2 linked regions of the Arabidopsis thaliana genome follow. The protein of the gene in region 1 purifies or fractionates together with the protein of each later gene. This does not show direct contact. Each region holds a gene or a part of one and is shown on either strand. Other genes may lie near its edges.

Region 1 (6,549 bases):
TGCTTAAGAGCTAAGCAGAAAGAAAGAGATGTATGTGAAGAACTTTTCTCGAGCTCCTCAATTCTTTAATTGTTTTTATTACTGATTTGACGTTTTAATAAAACTATAGCAAAAATTACCGCAAGACGAATATTTCTCAAGAATGAGACTTTTGCTAGTTGACTTCAAACAATTTTAACCCCTCAAAATCCAACTTGATAGAGGATTAAATTGCACATAATCGCTTTGTTAAAAGTATGAAATTTGGATGTAAAAGTAAACCTAATGATTTTTTTGGAATGTATAGTAAATATATACTATTATGTTGTAATGGAGGGTTTCTGTGAAGTGTGTATGTGTGAAAGAACAACAAGTAAAAATGCTTCCAGAGCAGAGACAGAGAGTTGTGTCAGCTTCGCTCTCACATCATATTACGACATTTGAGAAATCCAACGGCGACAGTAGCCGAGCTACATAAGATACTCCATATATACTCAAAAGAGCTCTGTTTTTATGTTTTCTCTTTGATTGTTCTCTTTCCCAAATCGGTACTTACTTTTGATTGACGTCAGTCAGATTTTACTCATTACTAATTTACTATTATAAAAGTGATTTTATTCATTATTATAAAAGGGAGTAGTAAACTAGTAATATTTCAAAAATTCCACATATGATTTTGTTTTTTAAGAGTAATAAAGATTTTTTGTTATGAAATCTCTCTGGTTTTTGTCTAAAGTGTTATTATAATTTTGAAAAAGATTATTAATTCTGTTTTGTGCAATTATGATAGAGGAGTAAAATTTCCTCAGGTTACATTTTCTTGATTAGCCATAATTGTGTAAGAAGAACGGTCCAATTAAACTGTACCACGATGAATACACACACAAACCCCAAAAATTAAATCTCTGGTGGGGTAATCATCATCATGTATACGAAAGATTCGACGAACCTGACCACAATCTTCTTCTTTCATTTGTCTCTTTCTTCTATGTGCTCCCCGGAAGAATCTTAAGACTTAAAAAATAATTTACACAAAATTCTTTTGGATCTTCTTCACACCATATGGCTACCTGATCTTGATATCCTTTGTGCTTCTTCCAAGTCCTTTAGAAATCTGTCACAACCAAATTCACTTTTCAGCTTACATTTCTCTTATAATACACTTTCATGAACTTTGTAGACCAATTTAGATTCCTAGTTATTATTTAATTCAAACAGCAATTTCGGTTTGGGCCTTCTATGACTTAACCAATGTTGATATTTTAGTTGATCAGTGCTGTTTCGACCTAGAACTCAAAACCAATCGAGGCTCATTTGCACACACTGTCTTAACCTCAGCATTACCTCTTGGAATTAAGCACTGCGGTGCCGCCGAGAATAAACCGAACCCCGGAGTTGGTGGCATTCTGTAGAGCAACAGAGCGTGATTCCTCGTATGTTGTTCCACCAACCATAAAAATAACCACCTCTTGTGGCCTGTTTATCCAGAAATTTTGCAGTTTTTGATTAGTTATGTAAGTTTTCACGAATTGCAGAAATCTGTAACTATCAAACAAGTTACCTGTTTTAAGAAATTGAAAAAATTAGAGGCACATACCGTCCCTGTTGAAAATGATCTCCAACAAATGGGTAATCCACATCTCGTAATCTCCCTCTAGTTATGCTCTCCATTGTTTGAAACAGAAGAGGCTGATGTTGAGTGTAGACATTCTCAACACCCTGTATTTTTCAAGATGTCAGTAACATGACATATATATAGGGAGATATAGAATGTTGCTGGAGACGAGTTAACTCAGATACAGACCTTAAGTCCACGAGCCATGTTACGTGCTATATTCAAAAGATCTCTGTTTCCAAATAGATCACCAGTGCGCTTCTCCACACCGGCTTGTTTCAAGAGAAATTGAACTAGCTGCAGTTGCATGGCAACCAGAAAGTTATAACATGATTTGAGGGTACTTTTATCAAGTTATTCAAAAATAAAAACGAAAAGGTAAAACTACTATGGACGGAATTGCAGATAGGTTAACAAGTATAGTAGTAGCAGAGGGACAGATCAAAATCAACCTTAAAAGAGATGCAGAATAATAAAGCCACAAGAAAGAGATGCAATTTAAACTGAAAGGAAACAGATGATAGTCTGACTGTACCCCTGGTTTGTACTTGGGAGACCGTGAAGCCAATTTGTTGAACAATTGCATCAACTGAACAGGATTTTCTTTCTCATAGCGCAAAGCATATAGCATTACCAAACGCAGCCGGTCGATGTCAGACACACTTTCATTATTTAAGAGATCCGTAACTGCCTGCAAATAAGCATGAATAGAGAGTCAGAGCTCCGTGCTTACAGCAGAGTCTGCACAATTTTGCATATTTCGCTAACTTCTGCAGGTTCACTGGATTACATTCGCATGAGACTCCAAATTATTGAATGCCAAATTATTCAGTAAGAACTTCTGCAGGTTGTAGCTATTTTTTAATATATGCGACTACAAGTGAATGTTCACCACAGATATTCACTACCTCATATGCAGCTCCTTGGCCACCATTGCAAGCCAAGTCCTGCTCTGTTTGTGAAACCGTCATCAGTTTCCTTGCTTCAACTAGCTTGCTCATTTCAGTAACCAGAGTTACATGCTTTGAAACGTTGCCTTGCATCTTTTTGTACTCAGGGTAGTTGTCAACAAATCTGGCCATATCCTCTGTACAACCAACGAATTCACAGATATATAATTGTCACTAGCACGAGAATCTGTTGTTACAAAAGTTTTTGCAGAGAATAGTTTAAGACTAGCCATATTTGTACCTACTGTCTGGATATTTTGGTTACTCTTGGCCACCTGCTGAAAGTCATCTACCATTCGCTTGATGTTCATTCCAATATCCCCAAAATTTTCATACATGTTAGATTTGAAAAATGCATCTTGTTCTGATGATAAAACCACCTCCTGCCAGGATAAGAGACATATTAGCTGTAAGGTTCTCAACTAAAAAACAATGGCATTGGAGAAAACTAACCACTTGCTGATCTTTTGGAAGACTTCCAATGGATTTCAAGTCCACTTTATTATCTTGAAGTCCTATGAGTTCGTGCACCATTGCCTACAGAAAATCTCGTTAATTAGTAAGTCGTAGTCTTACAAAAAAGCAAGACAGCGGGAGGCACATCTTATATCATAGAGTAGCACAATAATTTTGTTTAGTCAAGTTACCTGATATGTCCACTGATTCAGCAATGGGGTAACCGGGTCATCTCTTCTGTCAATTACAAGTAGCAACGGAGAGCTTTCAGTCCGTCTAAAGTCAAAAAGAGCGCTTTCATGCTGATACATCAATTTCTGAAACATAAACAGCGAATTTTCAGACTATTGGATAGACACAAGTGGGAATTAGTTCCATCACATGCATGCAAAATATAGCGGGAACAAATAACTTTACGAGAGCTTGTCAAACAACTTCACTTACAGCTGTTTCGTGTGCAATCCTTTTTGCAGTATCAGAGGTCCTCTGATATCTGATGACAGGTCTTCGTTTCAACGCCAGAAACACTGCCGCAATTCCATCAACAACCCGATCGGAAAAGCGTTGCAAACCAGAGGGATCGACAACTGCGGGGATCATATATAGATGATTTGATGCCATATTCAATGTGAAATGATATGGATCACCAGAAACAAAGTCTGCATAATACTCCTGCAATATAAAAAACCACAAAGACTATGTTAAACAAGCCATTATACAGTACTATGCCGAGTGCACCAAGCAATATAAGTTTAAATCAGAAAACTAAAGACAGGTAGGGGGGATACTAAGCTCCACAAGTATGGCCGTTTCATCACAAACCAAGCAACTTCTCAGAGACAGCTAAAAATCTATACATATATTGATCCATCATATAGGCTATGAAACATTCTTTTAGCATTAGCCTCCTATTCAAAAACATCATGGATGAGGGAAGTCTAAAAATCACCTGAACTTGCTGTACAACTTCCTGCTCATCGGAATCAGCCAAAATATGAATCTGAGTATCCTTCAACAGATTGGAGAAAACTGAAAGAATTCATAACAAAAACAACATCAAATTTTGTATATTGTGAGTGAACAATGATAAACTCGAAATAGTTAGAAGATGAAAAAATCATACATAAATGGTATTCTCCAAATCTAGGATTCGCAAGCTGGTATCGTAATTTCTGAATATTATCTGAAGTTGGACGGATGAAATAAACAGCTTTCAGATGTGACATCGATTCTTTTGACACAGATATTGAATCTATCATCTCCACCAGAAACACTTCTTTCTGAAGCAGCTCTGACTGTGAATACACAATGCTTACATTGCTAACCTGCAAATTCAACAATTAATCCAATAAACAAGTAATCACGAAGATGTGTTTCCGGTTACAAGGGAAATTATGAACCACGATTCCAGAAACAAATCAGAGAAGATTAGCAATCGAAGAAGACGAGATCGGACTTTACCGTTTCGGAGTCGAGTATGAGAACCTTCATGCCGGAGATGTCCTGAAGCATCCGGTTAATGTAATCACGCACAGACGTAACCAAAACCATCGTTTCACCGCAAAATTCTGCTACTGTTACGACGTTGATTCAGATCTACGGCGACTAATCTGATGATTCTTGTTAACAATAACGCTGGCGAAGTGATTTCGCGTTCACTTTCAGATCTTCCTTTCCTTAATCGAGAAAACTAAAAGGTCCCCAGACTCGTCGACTCATACGAAGAAAAGTGTTTTTGCAAAACAAACCCTATATTTTATTGGTTATTCCTCTTTTCAACACAAACTTAATTTTTGATTAACTGAACCTAATTTGAGGGTTTATTTATTAAGTAATAAAACATCAGGGTTTTACAAAGGAAACATCTAATAGATCAGGATTTTTCCGCAAAAAAATTCAAACTTAACATTGACCCATCGTGTTGATTTTGTTCCGATCCGTCCGCTAATATAATATAATTTGGATTAGCGTCAAAAACGTGTGATTATTGTAATGCTCGATGCATCCAGCTTCATGTAGTCTCTCACTCAGGAAAGTCAAACTTAATATTCTTACAGTGAGAATGAAGCTCTCTTCTGAAAGTCCCATGGCGCCGTCAAGTCAGTCAAGTCATCGACTTTACATTTCCAGGTAAGTCTTTTTCTCTTCTACTTCATCAGTTTCTTGAGTTCAATGGAAACTACTTTACCTAACTTAGGGGAATCAGATAGGATCATAGATCATGAGAGCAATGTGGTTGAGTATGTGCATTACAGAGATCTGTATTCATCTGTTGGCTTGACATAGTGCATTTGTTTTACATATATAGTGAGAAAACAAAAACGAAGAGATTCCAAAGAAACGGATACACTCTCGATGTTGAAATGTGTGTCAACTTCTCTAGTCTGAAACTTGTTTTGTTTCTTATGATGCTGGTTGCTATGTTCACACTCTACTGTTCTCCACCGTTGCAAATTCCTGAAGATCCATCAAGTTTTGCAAACAAATGGATACTAGAACCTGCTGTAACCACAGATCCTCGCTATATAGCTACATCTGAGATCAACTGGAACAGTATGTCACTTGTTGTTGAGCATTACTTATCTGGCAGAAGCGAGTATCAAGGAATTGGCTTTCTAAATCTCAACGATAACGAGATTAATCGATGGCAGGTGGTCATAAAATCTCACTGTCAGCATATAGCTTTGCATCTAGACCATGCTGCAAGTAACATAACTTGGAAATCTTTATACCCGGAATGGATTGACGAGGAAGAAAAATTCAAAGTCCCCACTTGTCCTTCTCTTCCTTGGATTCAAGTTCCTGACAAGTCTCGAATCGATCTTATCATTGCCAAGCTCCCATGTAACAAGTCAGGAAAATGGTCAAGAGATGTGGCTAGATTGCACTTACAACTTGCAGCAGCTCGAGTGGCGGCATCTTCTGAAGGGCTTCATGATGTTCATGTGATTTTGGTATCAGATTGCTTTCCAATACCGAATCTTTTTACGGGTCAAGAACTTGTTGCCCGTCAAGGAAACATATGGCTGTATAAGCCTAAACTTCACCAGTTAAGACAAAAGTTACAACTTCCTGTTGGTTCCTGTGAACTTTCTGTTCCTCTTCAAGCTAAAGGTCAGTGACTCAGTAGTAAGTTTCTTCGTCTTTTGTATCAGCTAAATTTGACATCTCTATTCTCTCCTCCTAAGCTGATTATGATTCAATTGCAGATAATTTCTACTCGGCAAATGCCAAGAAAGAAGCGTACGCGACGATCTTGCACTCAGATGATGCTTTTGTCTGTGGAGCCATTGCAGTAGCACAGAGCATTCGAATGTCAGGCTCTACTCGCAATTTGGTAATACTAGTCGATGATTCGATCAGTGAATACCATAGAAGTGGCTTGGAATCAGCTGGATGGAAGATTCACACATTTCAAAGAATCAGAAACCCGAAAGCTGAAGCAAATGCATATAACCAATGGAACTACAGCAAATTCCGTCTTTGGGAATTGACAGAATACAACAAGATCATCTTCATTGATGCAGACATGCTTATCCTCAGAAACAT
Region 2 (4,679 bases), about 20 Mb from region 1:
TATATGCCTAAAATTTTAAAGAGTAGATTAATTAATCTCAAAACTCTTTCATTTGGTGGTTAAGTGAATTATTTCCGGCGAATGGGAGGAAATTCTTGATCATTAAAGATTATTTTCAATCACTCGTCAATCTATCCCTGCTTACGAAGAAGGGATTTATAGGGTGGAATGGGTTAACGAGTTTGAAGACCAGAACGTGTGGTTTAAAACATAACAGGGGCTGAGATCATAGAAAACATAATTCACGACAGAAACACATGCTCTAGCTGCGTTATGGACGGGCCGGGACTGCATAAAACTATTTGTTTCGGGGATAGTTTTACTTGTTATGTTTGGCTTGTGTGTATTTTTTGGTGTCGTGAATGTTTGATGTTATTTTAAATAGAGAGATAGAAGGAGAGGCCTTTGTTTCATGCTCTGACGTGACAGTGGGTCTCCTGCCTGCGACTGGTGATCACGGCAAGATGATTGGTCCGGCAAGGATGTGTCAGGTGTCCTAGTTTTCTTAAAACATTATAAGTATAGATCTTTGGCTCATGTAAAGACTTGGAAAACCTTATGTTTTGAGCAATGGAGTGTTTGTTCTTTTTGGAATTACATTGTTGTAAGTTTTCAAAGGTTGGACTTGAGATGTAAGTGGAAGTTTCCACAGTTGTAACTTTTGAAACATCTGCTTTATATAAAATAGTACCACTTTTTTGGAAAAAAAGACAAAAAAGAAAAGACTTGGGAAACCTTATGAATGTTAAAAGTGTTGCCACTTCAATACAAACATCGTACTTAAAAATACAAGTAACCACTTGGGCCATTACAAAGTAAATCAACCATCATATATATATACACAATCACGATGAATAATGTTTTTTGAGTATATTAATGAGAAAGCTTGTATGAGATGATCAAGATGATGGCGAGAACGAGAGCCACGATTACCGATGTAATGATCCATTTGTTCCTAGTCATTCTCCTTGACATAGCCGTCAACACCTTCTTGCTCTTGTCAATGGCGTCATCCACACCATGAAGCTGTGATTCAAAATCAGAAAAGTTAGCTTCTCAATGATCTAATTCAAACAAATCATTGGCACTGATAGATACCAAACCGAGCAATTGTAGACGGTACCTTGTTGTGCGCATGAAGGAGGGTTTGGCGTTGCTGACTCAAATCTTGGACAATTGAGATGCCAACCTCTTCTGTCTCCAGCATTAGTCTTCTACTCTCCCTGATTCTGTCACTTGATTGGTCAAGCCTCTCCACGGACATTGCCAATCTTCCTCTTTGATCAGCAGATACCTGGAACATGGACAATAATGTAAATCACAGCAAAGTCTTTGCCATCTAAAAGTTTGTGTGAAGATGAATATAAAGGAGGGTCCCCTCAGGACAAAGAAGCCTAACTGATGCAAGTCAATTAAGACAACTAAGATAATGAGAAAACAAGAGTTTCTATTTAGGAGTTAGAAGCTTACTGCATGCAGATCCGCCATTCCGGATTCCATCAACTCTTCACGGGAAGACGGCTTAGCATCTGCGGAAGAGACTCGTTTGAATTCCTTCTTCAATTGGTTCAGATCAGATTTATACTCTCTTAGTTTAGAAAGACACACAGCTTTAGCACTCGGCTGCAAACTTCTTGCCTCAAGATCCATTTTCCGGATCTACAAAAAAACCACAGAAGCATATATATTAATTTTAAAAAAGAAAGAACAGAACGGTAACAACATTAAAGCAAGTTAAATGCAAATACCAAGACATCAGCTTCGTCTATTCCAGACTTGATCTCAGCAATCTTCCCCTTCTTCTCCTCTATAAAAGCACACAACAATATCTAATCAAACCTCTACTCTGGTTCTATGGCACCACAAAATGTAACAACTCCATGCATGTCTATGTACTATAACTCCAAGAAAGACAGTGGTAACCATAGACTGACAAACAAATGAAAAAAAACACCAACTCAATAAACCTCTGCAGCTACATAACTAGGTTCTTATGATCTTATCTTCAGTCTTAATTTCTTCACAAAACTACTTGACCAATCCAAGTAAATTACATTCCCAGATACTACAGAACTCGTCAGATCGTAAACAAGCTAAAACGATTAGTAAACACTCATGCACCTCTACTTTACAAATACCCCCAAATTCGGACAAAATTAGATGAAATAGATTGAGAAACAAGTTAATAAATCTATGCAACTACATAACTATCTAGACCTAACTAGGTTATCGTCTTCTAATCCAAGCAATGAGAAACAGATCCTATGTCTCAACATTCCTAAATGTTACAAAACTTCGTCAGATCCTAAACAAGTCAGGACGATTAGTAAAGAACACTAGTCCACCAGCTACTTGTCACAGCTCAAAAGCTCCAATAACCCCAAATTCGAAGATTCGAATTTCTAAAATCAGGTAAATTCGAAGATCTCGCGTTCAAGATCCGAAATCGGGAGCGTCTGGATTTTACCTCCGTTGGAGAGAACCGATGCAGAGTGACATTTTCTAGAGAGATTGGTTGAGAGCTCGCAGTATTGACGCTCGTACCCTTCAAATACGTCGCTCATCTTCAATTATATGTTTCGATCTTGAGAAATTTGGTGGATTTTTTCTGATCAATCGGATCCTTTGTTTGATTGGATTGGATCGGATCTAGAAGCAAAACAGTTTCCTCTTTGCTTAAAGATAATCAAACAACTCTTCTTCTTCTTCCTTTGTATTTCTCTGCTCGGGGACAAGGAGGAACAATCAAACAAAGCGGTGCGTTTTATATTGACACGTGTCAGCCACTGCGTATTAAGTCCCCCATGCTGCAATCGATGCAAATGTAGGTGAGACAAACCAAACCGAATCAAACCGTTAATTAAGATTGAAATCTAAGTGTCTTTTCTCACTTTTTCAGCTCTCGGAAATAGTGTACATTTTATGCAGAACCAAGATTACTCGTCCAGGAAATAGACAAATCCATTGATAGAAGTCGAATCTGTTTTGCGTAACTATGTGGGATTCTTTGATAGTCTCATGAAATCAAAGAGATCTCAGAGGCTAAGAGTAAGATAGTCCACTCGAGTAAAAATGGGGGGAACAAGCAGAGATTCTCAAACTATATTAGCCAGGTGAAGAGAACCAACAGATATTATTAGAAATTCCACTTGGGATTGTTCGTGTTACATCACATTCATCGACTCAGTCATTATATTCTACAAGAGTACAAGGTAAACATAAAAAGGATCCTTTGGGCTCTTATAGCTCATTCTTGACCTTTGCATCCCCATTTGGTAACACACTTTGCGATTGCGCCAACCGTTTCGCTTCCTGAATATGACCAAAACTGTTTAATCCCCTTGACTTACTATAATATATTAATGAAGATGTACAATACTAGTCGAAGTTAACAACTTACAGCAGCAGAACTAGCACGGATTTCTCTATACATATCGACTTCATCAGGGAAATTCTGTTCAAGCTCCTCCAGAATATGTTTTCTCAAATCCTATTTATAACAAAATGTTGATTAAGAGACTCAGTAACCTTAAGAATCATACACAAATTAAGAATCAGAAGAAAAGGAGTCACCTTAAAAGCATCAGTCTTGCCCTTAGTAACTTGATTTCTAGCTATGCAGCTATTAAGAACATCTTTCGTAAACTCATCCGGGTTCTTCCCATCATCAATCAAGCTATACGAAAACGCAAACATAAGTAAGCAAGTAAAAGTATCTATCTTCAAAGTGCATACTAAAAACAAAAAGGACTTGTTTTCTCACTTAAGAACCTCCATGGGGATTTGAATGTTGCATTTCTCAGACAACTTAGTCATGTTATCTAGCTCCATCACAAGAGAGTTACTGCAAATACACACACACACACATATTCATTCAAACAATAGTTACAATACCCAAAACAATAAACACAGATGAGTAGAGGAGTTACTTACAGGCGCTGGAGGAGATGGAGTTGAGACGCGGGTGTGAAAGAAGTGACGGTAAGGTGTAACTGATGAAGGACTCCTAAAGTTTTCTCAATAGAGTTTATGACTTGGGAAAGATTCTCCTTTGAATCATCAGCAACGGTCACAGTTGAAGTCCCATCATTGGTTTGATATCTGATTGTACCATTGCTCCCACCAATCCCTGCACTTGTGTTCTGTGTTGGATCCATCACAAGCTGCCACAAAATATAAACTTGAGATATATGACCTGATGCGTTAGCGATAACAAAACAAAAACGAGAAAACGCAATTTTCGATCTCAAAATCAAACGAAAATTCTTCAGAAACCTTATTCAATTGGAGTGGATTTTGGTATCCAAATTTCTAATTTTAGATGCAAATTCCACAAAAACGCCCAGATCAAGAATAACGATAACAATAACAATTAGCGTAGAATGAAGATCCGTGACTTACCTACAACAGAGATGCGTTTGGCGAGAGTGAGGTGGAGATTCTCCGGACGAATTAGGTTTTCCTCCGAGCCTTACCGTGAAAACCGAAAAGGGACCGACGAAGACAGGGAAGCGGAAGATATTTGGACACTTTGCTGACGTGGAATATCATTATCTTGTATCTGTTTCGTTCATACTTTTATTTCATTCTTCATCAGCTGTGTTAAACTGTTAATGATCTTCTAAGTTCTAACATGTGATTATTAATATTTAAAATAGAAATGGCAGATTTAACAGAGT

The links.
Region 2: the proteins of VPS45 (region 1) and VTI1B purify together in Arabidopsis thaliana (affinity purification with western blotting, with the first as the bait; one study listed by BioGRID). This does not show direct contact.

What each region holds. Positions count from the first base shown.
Region 1 is NC_003070.9:28,982,165-28,988,713, reverse strand, and holds VPS45 (vacuolar protein sorting 45), read right to left. Parts: upstream 4,781-6,549; 5' UTR 4,552-4,780; coding exon 4,462-4,551; intron 4,326-4,461; coding exon 4,124-4,325; intron 4,030-4,123; coding exon 3,950-4,029; intron 3,673-3,949; coding exon 3,445-3,672; intron 3,318-3,444; coding exon 3,192-3,317; intron 3,082-3,191; coding exon 2,998-3,081; intron 2,928-2,997; coding exon 2,786-2,927; intron 2,682-2,785; coding exon 2,503-2,681; intron 2,286-2,502; coding exon 2,130-2,285; intron 1,892-2,129; coding exon 1,784-1,891; intron 1,699-1,783; coding exon 1,577-1,698; intron 1,456-1,576; coding exon 1,324-1,455; intron 1,094-1,323; coding exon 1,033-1,093; 3' UTR 679-1,032; downstream 1-678. UniProt on the Arabidopsis thaliana protein: Involved in the protein transport to the vacuole, probably at the level of vesicle fusion at the trans-Golgi network (TGN) and not in transport from the TGN to the prevacuolar compartment, by promoting the recycling of vacuolar sorting receptors back to the TGN.
Region 2 is NC_003070.9:9,213,988-9,218,666, reverse strand, and holds VTI1B (Vesicle transport v-SNARE family protein), read right to left. Parts: upstream 2,898-4,679; 5' UTR 2,565-2,897; coding exon 2,468-2,564; intron 1,808-2,467; coding exon 1,749-1,807; intron 1,660-1,748; coding exon 1,471-1,659; intron 1,295-1,470; coding exon 1,124-1,294; intron 1,027-1,123; coding exon 874-1,026; 3' UTR 657-873; downstream 1-656. Other genes in the region: AT1G26665 (Mediator complex, subunit Med10), read right to left, coding at 3,241-3,312, 3,401-3,490, 3,574-3,676, 3,764-3,844, 3,934-4,157. UniProt on the Arabidopsis thaliana protein: Together with either SYP41 or SYP61, required for membrane fusion; the fusion of phospholipid vesicles containing SYP41 or SYP61 and VTI12 is triggered by YKT61 and YKT62.